Sus scrofa: one gene and its partner. The protein of the gene in region 2 interacts with the protein of the main gene of each other region in a biochemical or structural test. Links are inferred from orthologs where the notes say so. Each region holds a gene or a part of one and is shown on either strand. Other genes may lie near its edges.

Region 1 (4,064 bases), about 8.4 Mb from region 2:
TTGTAAACTCCATCACATTGTACCCAGACAAAATTTTCCTTGTTTGTATCCACCCCAGCACCCCTCAAGGACCACATTTGACTGTATTTGATGTAACAGGCATGTTAGAATGTGGGGTCCCCCTAACCATTTCTGCTTTTTGTCTTGTCCTTCCAAGTTCCGTTAGCTTCTGTACTCGGTCCCCTTTGGAGTCTGGTTTCTCTTCCAGAGGCAAAGGGTGATGTGCTGCATCTCACTAGTTGACTTACATCATCTTGATGAACTAAAAACCAAATGTGGACGTTTGTAAAATAAATGCACTCTTTCTAGAGATTAAATTCATTTTTTAAAATCTGGAAGTACTGTTTCATTGTGATGCTTCAATGAGGGGGGTGTGGAGGATCAATATTATTGTTTGAATTTTAGAGATGAGGAAACGGGTGAAGGAACTGCCCAAAGTTGACACTTATGTTTTAGTGCCCCCCAAAGTACGTGTCGCACATGCAGTGCTCATGCGCATGTGGCGTTCTCTGCCTACATTTTCCTTCTCTGCCTCCTCTGGCTAATTCCTATTTGTCCTTGAGTATTCCACTTCCGAAGCCTTCTCTATTCTCCCTGACTCAGACCTGACTCATAAGATATGGTAACCATCTGTGTTTCCACAACAAATTTCGCCTACCTGTATCCCAGTATTTCCACTCTGCCTCTCACTCCCATGCCAGTGAGGCTGCTTTTACCAAGGTCACCCAGGACCTTCTTAATTATAAACCTTGCAGATATTTTCAGTCCTTATATTCCTTGACCTGGAAGCAGTATGTAACACTGTTGGCATTCCGTTCTTGAAATACTCTTATTTTGGCTTACAGGATGCTATACACCTGGTTTCCCCCCTACCGCTCTAGCTACGTCTTGTTCTCTTTTGCCTATGAATTTCATACTTCTGATCTTCTCATTTTCCAATCCAGTCTACAATATTGAAGCCAGAGTTGTTTTTCTAGAATGCTATATAGGTCATTTCACCACCACCCTTTGGATGACTGGGGAATGGGCGATTAAATAGTTAACTCCTACTCAAAGCATCTCTTCTAAAGACCAGAGAGGTAGAAAAGCAAAGGAAGAAATAAAAGCTTGAAAGAGATAAGTGCAGGCGAGTTTGTTACAGGGAAATGGCAAGCTCCACTGTGGATTCAGGGAAAGCGTCACGGAGAAAGGTTTCTTGAACTGGTCCTTAAACAGCAGGGTTCAGTTGAGCCAACGTTAGACACATGCAGCGTAGTGCGGGGCGTTCTATGAGTTTTGGGTCCTATAACCCTATTTTACTGTTGGCCCAGAGAGAGTAAAGGGCTTTGTCCCACTCACACAGACAGGTGTCCTGAAGGAAGGTGGAGGTTCAGAGGACGCAGGACTTGGAGTGTAAGCCCTTGGTCTTAAAACGCGGACTCCAGACCACGTTCGTCCTCCTACCAAGCTCTAGAACCCCTTGGACCGCAGGCCCAGAAGGACGCAGGCTTACAAACCTCAACCTCCCTCCCTCCCCGGCTGAGGGGGCGGGGCTACACCAATCCCGCCTCCGTGGGGAAGGGCTTCGTTCCGCCAGGAGGGGCGGAGCCTACTTGGCCCGCGGGTCGGGAGGGGTCGCTCTACGCCCGGAGGCGGAGTTGTCTGGCGTCACTTCCGCGCGCCGTTGTCTACGTCAGTGTCGGGCGCCTACGGCAGAGGTGCGGTTTGCTCTTAAAGTTCGGTCTCGGATACCTTTTGCGAGCCATGGAAAGTGACTTCTATCTGCGTTACTACGTGGGTCACAAGGGCAAATTCGGCCACGAATTCCTGGAGTTTGAGTTTCGACCCGACGGTGAGAAAAGCGTCCGGCCTGACGGGAGCGAGGTGTAGGCCTGGGGACGGGCGAGTGGGAGGAGTGTGCGAGGAACTGGAGGAGGAAGAGACTGATGGCTGTGAGGCGCCGATTTGGAAGGAACGATACTGTGTCTTCCCCACTGGTTCTTTTCGTGTTCAGAATCTTCTGTTTAGTGACATTTCTGACCACAATGATTCATTCAGTAAACGTTCCTTGAGCGCCTACCTTGTGCCAGGCTCTGTTCCACCATCTGGGATACAAGAGTGAACACTTCCCGTCTCATGGAACTTAGATTCCCGTGCTGGGAGATCTGTAAACAACAAACAAACAAAAAGCAACAAAAAAAGAAGATTCCAGATAGTGATGAGTGGTCAGAAAACAAAGTGATGGTATAATTGCTGGTGGACTGCATTTAGAAAGGGTGGCCATAGGCGAACTCTCTGAAGAGCAGATATATGAACTGAGTTCTGATTGACAAGAAGGAGCCAGCCTTGTGACTCTCAGGTAGAAGAGCATTCTAGGCAGAGGGAGAAACAAGTATCAAGGCCATAAGGCAGGGATGAACTAAACATGTTTCAGGTGGCCAGTGTGGCTGAAGAGTAGTGAGCTCTGGAGAGAATAGTAAGTAGCCTGATAAACAGGCAAGGGTCACACCATATAGTCTTTATAGGGTGTGGTAGAGTTGGGATTTTTGTTCTAAGTGCAGCAGGAAGCAATTTGAAAGTTTTAAGCAGAGGAGAGATGTAATATGTTCTTGAAAAAGTTTTGTAGTTATTAGGTGCAGAATGGGTAAGAATGAAAACTACTTAATAGGAGGCAGAATTGTTAAGACGGAAGGGATGTTGGTTGGGACTAGAGTGATAGTGATGGCATACTGTTGATGGCACAACCAGTAGGACTTTGCCAAGTGATAGATTTGGGGAGGCGCCAGTACAGTGAAAGAAAAGGAATCAAAGATGACAGAAAATTTATCCTAAATGGGGGCACAAAAATGAACTGACACGCCCCGGTTGTGAAGGAAATAGGTTTGTTAGCAAACAAAGACAAGACAGTGTAGTGGCTACTGGGGTAGAAAGACACAGAAAGGACCCTTGGAGCAGAAGGAAGGCACCTAACCCAGCCTGGAGGTCAGAGAAGACTTCTTGAATAAGATGACATGGGGAAGTGGAGGTTTGAGCCTTTAGTAATGTGAAGGAGTTAGGCAGAGAGTCAAGAAGGCATTTTCAGAAAGCATTAACAGCGAAGAGACCGAAACCCAAAAAGTGAATGGGGTGTTTCAGGCAGAAACCAAACACATTTGACCCTTGAACAACATGGGTTTGATTGCATGGGTCCACTTAATTTTTTTCAGTAGGAAAGACCTACATGATCCACAGTTGGTTGAGTCCAAGATGAGGAACCGTGGATACAGAGGAACTGCAGATGCAGAGGGCTGGCTCTGAGTTATACCAGTGTTCAACTACAGAGAGGCTGGGTGCCCTATGCCCAAGGTTGTTTATGGGTCAGCTGTAATTTGATTAACTCCAGCTATGTGCAAGAGGACTTTTGGAGGAGTGGCCCTGGAAGTGGGCTCAGCGTAGCAGTAACCCATGTTGAGGAATTTGGGTTTTATCAAGACGGCAGTGGGAAGTCATTGTTGGTATCAAAGTGTTAGAGTAACCTAATCAGATCTGTTAACTATCACTTTGTCCACTGTATGGAGAATGAATTGAAAGGAGAGGAACTTGAGGCAGAGAGACGGTACAGTGAGGCGTCAATTAGTGTGGCTCTTTTTAGTGTGCCTTCTGTTCTGTAGGGAAAAAATTATCTCCTTTATTTCCTTTTATCTTCTTCATATCCACCATATATACTCAGGTGAACCTGTTGGATGCACATATGACTTTTTATACCAAATATGCATAATAATATCACAGGAATAGATTATAGAGTGTTGCACAGTCACTTGTTTATATACGTAAAAAGCATTTTAACAGTTTTCAGAATGCTTTCACAACTCTTGAGCCTCAGGGGGCCCTGTCTGTAGGTAAGTTATCGGTTACTCCTGTTTTTCAGCTGAGGGCATTAATCTGCAGAGATGTGATTTGCCTGTCACAAAAGAGTCTGTTCTTTAATCACAACTGAGCTGCCTTTGGCAAGAATTATAATTCATTATCAGCTGTATTTTTTGCTGGGAGGCTATTTAATAGTGTTGATGGAAAAAAAAAAAAACTCAAAAGTTGAGAGTTATGTT
Region 2 (3,563 bases):
ATGACAGTGTCCGCAAGCTGCACTGCTGATTCGGGGCGGCGGGCAGGGAGGTCTCCCACCTTGCACAGGGCCCAGGAGGCCAGCTGAGGCTGCGGCGGGGGGGGGGTGCCTTGGCTCCGGGAAAGTGGGGGTGAGCCAGGTCTCACCAATGGTGAACATGACAGTGTCCGCCAGCTGCACGTTGCTGATGCTGATCCGTGGGATGAGGCCAATGAGCCCGGGCACCACATCGGAGTAGTTGACATCGATGGTCTCGGCGATGGACTGGAAGCCGTAGAGCAGGGCCTCCGTGTGCTGGAGAAAGAGGGCGCACTGGCTCGGCTGAGGAGGAGGGAGTGACGGGTCTGGGAGGGCTGAGGGGCTCAGGCTTGGGACGTACCTGCCAGGAGTAGGGCTCCTCTGAGCTGGTGAGCAGACGGCCCAGCTTGTCATAGAGGCTGCTGAGGAGCTCGGCCCCCAGCATCTCGTAGACGTACATCAGCGTGTCTGAGATGTCCACCCTGAGCAGCAGACGAAGGCCTTACACACCGCCCGGATGCTGCCCCCAGGGCCCCTGCCACCCTGCCACAGCGCCGAGACGATAAGGAGAGGAGTTCTCGGATTCGGGAGGCCTGGCCTTGGGCCTCTCCCCTCACTGCCTTTATCAGGCCAGGACTCCCTTTAGAGGCGGGACCGGCCTACCACCATCACCTGTAAATCCGGAACTGCTCCTTCTCATCTGAGGACCAGAACCCGTACTCTTCATCAGAAGGGAACTGGGCCTTGTGCAGAAGCACATCCACCAGCTGGAAGTAGACCGGCCGGTACACCTGCTGGTACACAGCCTGCTTCTCCGCCTCGAAGGACAGAATGTCATCCTGAGAGGGAGGGGGCGCGTCAGCCCGGCCCCGCCGCCCCCCGCCCACCCGCCCGGCCCTCCGGAGGCTCCCACGACGCACCTGCAGCGTGTACCAGAAAGTGAGCGTCAGGGAGCTGGTGGTCTCGTTGACGGGGAAGTGGCCGGGGATGCCCGTGCAGAACATGATCATGTTGACCAGGGCCAGGAAGCTCTGCCAGTGCTCCACCTGGTCCAGCAGGGCCCTGGGGGACGGGCACACGGGGAGGTCGCGCCAGCCCCCCCACCCAGGGGCCCTGCTGCCCTGCCCCAGCGGCCCCTCTCCTCACCGGGAGTGGTTCTCGCCCAGGGCCACGGCAATGCGACAGATGCCGTGGGAGGTCTCCATGTCCCCATTCTGCACGGCCTGTCGCAGTTGATCCTGCAGTCCCAGCACCAGCGGGATGAGTTTCAGGAGTGTGTTCACGTACCTGGGGGCATGAGATGAGGAGACCCAGCCCCACCAGCTTGGAGAGAATGGCACAACTGTCTTCTTTTTTTTTTCCCTTAGGGCCACGCCTGAGGCATATGGAAGTTTCCAGGCTCGGGGCTGAATTGGAACTGCAGCTGCTGGCCTACACCACAGCCACAGCAATGCCAGCTCCAAGCCCTGCACCACAGCTCATGGCCACGCTGGATGCTTAACCCACTGAGCGGGGCCAGGGAATGAGCCCACAGCCTCATGGATACTAGTTGGGTTTACTACCACGGAACCACAACGGGAACTCCAAACGGCACAATCTTCCAGCAAAGCCCCCCGTCCCACATCAAATCCAAAGCAAAAAAGAGGTCAGGGCCTACACGGCAGGCGTGATGCTGCCCAGTTTGGGAGGAACCTTAGGTCAGAGACTTCCGGGAGACCTCCGGGAAGACGTATGAGAAGGTCAGGGTTATGGGTTGACTTGTGTCCTTCCACTGGACTCAGTGTTGATGCGGAGATGGGTCAGGACTGTTGGGGGTGGGGGTGAGATAAGGGCAATGTGCTTCGCACACGGGAAGGACATTACTTCGGAGGCCGGAGGGCAGACCGTTAGGGATTGAACTGTGTCCCTCCCAAAAAGTTGCGTTGAAGTCCTAACCTCCCTATCTCAGAGTGTAATTGATGAGGAAAGAGTCACTGCAGATGAGGTCAGAGCCTGATGGGACACAACCCGTATTCTCAACAGGAGCATTCATGTGAAGACAGAGACCAACAGGAAGAATGCCACGCGACGACAAAGGGAGAGGCTGGCATTAGGCAGCCAAAGATTGCCAGCAAGCAAGCAGGAGCCAGGAGACAGCGAGGAAGGAGTCTCCTACCGGTTCCACAGAAAGCTGACCCCTGCTATCAGACCCCAAGCCCCACAACCGTGAGACAGTATACTTCGGTGGTGGGTGCCAGCGTGTGGCACTTTATTCTGGCAGCTCTAGGAAACTAACACAGTCAGGGTTGGGGGAGACTGAGCAAGCATGGGAGACAGAAGAGGCAACGCCGGCTGCGGAGTCCTGTTAGAGCCTCTGGAGCAGCAACCGCCACCTTGCACTCCACCTCCTACCACCGCGTCCCAGCTCCTGAGGGGGCTCTGGTGGCAGAAAGGAGAGAAGCAGGTGACTGACTCACAAGGCGCTGGGAGGCAAAACAGACAGGCCTTGAGGACTGACTGGATGATGAGGATGGGCAGAGCCAAGGACAATTCTCAGGTTACTGGCTAGACAGCTAAGTAGCTGGGGGAGGTGCTGGCCGAGACCTGGAGGGGTGGGTAGAGGGGACAGTCACAAAGTTAACGGGAGGCCAGAAGGTGACAAATTCAGGGTCAGCCGTGTTGAATCAGAGGTACCTGGTGAGAGAGGCAGGTAGACATGTCCAGAAAGCTGGATATAAAACCCTGAAGCCCGGTGGAGAGGTGAGAGCAAGAGAGAGAGATTTTGGAGTCATCAGCAAACAGCTCTGGGCATAGAGGAGAACTGCCCATGAGGAAAGGGTTGAATGAGAGAAAAGACGAGATCCCTGAGGTACAATGACTCCTAAAGCAGGAGCAGAGGAAGCCAAGGATACAAAGAAGACTGTGAGAAGGCTGCCTCCCTCCCACTGGACCCCTCCCCAGCAGCCTGATCTGTGGCGGTGAGACCAAGCAGAGGAAGTGATATTCTTAGCGGGGAGCGAAGGCTTGGGACAACTCTGCTGTCAGTCACAGCAGCACCATAGCAATCTATGCAGAGAGGCGGGTGCTGAGGGTCCAGCAGGAGCTCTACCTGGACTTGCCCCAAGCGGCTGCCAGGCAGGTGGCCTCATAACGTTAGGTGGCGGATAAGTGGAACAGGAGGCAACCCGTCTGGGATGCTGGACGTCTCCACATCCCCATTCCAGTGGGACAAGGCTTCTACACCAGGATGCCCCCCAGCCCAGAGACAGCTCCAGAGGGTGCGGCCTGGAGTCAGCTGGGATAGCTTCAGTCTCATGGCCCTGACACAGGCTGCACCACAAGACAATAGGCACCTTCAGGCCAGACTCTGGCACAAAGAGGAGGGGCAGGGCCAAGGCCATGGCCTGCAAGCTCCCCAGTAGCTGAGATGGGGCAGGAGGTCGTGCCCTACCCCCACAGCATCCCCACTGTAGTCCAAGCCTCCCTTGCATCTTCGAAATTAATGTATACAGTAGGTACTCAACAACCGTTCCACTTTGTCCCATCTGAGCCTCATCATAGGATAA

Evidence for each region. The genes of interacting proteins can lie anywhere in the genome.
Region 1: the proteins of IPO13 (region 2) and MAGOH form a complex in vitro, tested with the Homo sapiens proteins (2 studies listed by BioGRID and IntAct). The link is inferred for Sus scrofa from reciprocal best matches to the Homo sapiens genes IPO13 and MAGOH.

The regions. Positions count from the first base shown.
Region 1 is NC_010448.4:158,986,926-158,990,989, forward strand, and holds the start of MAGOH (protein mago nashi homolog), read left to right. Parts: upstream 1-1,246; 5' UTR 1,247-1,743; coding exon 1,744-1,831; intron 1,832-4,064. UniProt on the Homo sapiens protein: Required for pre-mRNA splicing as component of the spliceosome. Plays a redundant role with MAGOHB as core component of the exon junction complex (EJC) and in the nonsense-mediated decay (NMD) pathway.
Region 2 is NC_010448.4:167,337,743-167,341,305, forward strand, and holds part of IPO13 (importin-13), read right to left. Parts: intron 1,306-3,563; coding exon 1,165-1,305; intron 1,081-1,164; coding exon 939-1,080; intron 858-938; coding exon 691-857; intron 501-690; coding exon 380-500; intron 295-379; coding exon 147-294; intron 1-146. UniProt on the Homo sapiens protein: Functions in nuclear protein import as nuclear transport receptor. Serves as receptor for nuclear localization signals (NLS) in cargo substrates.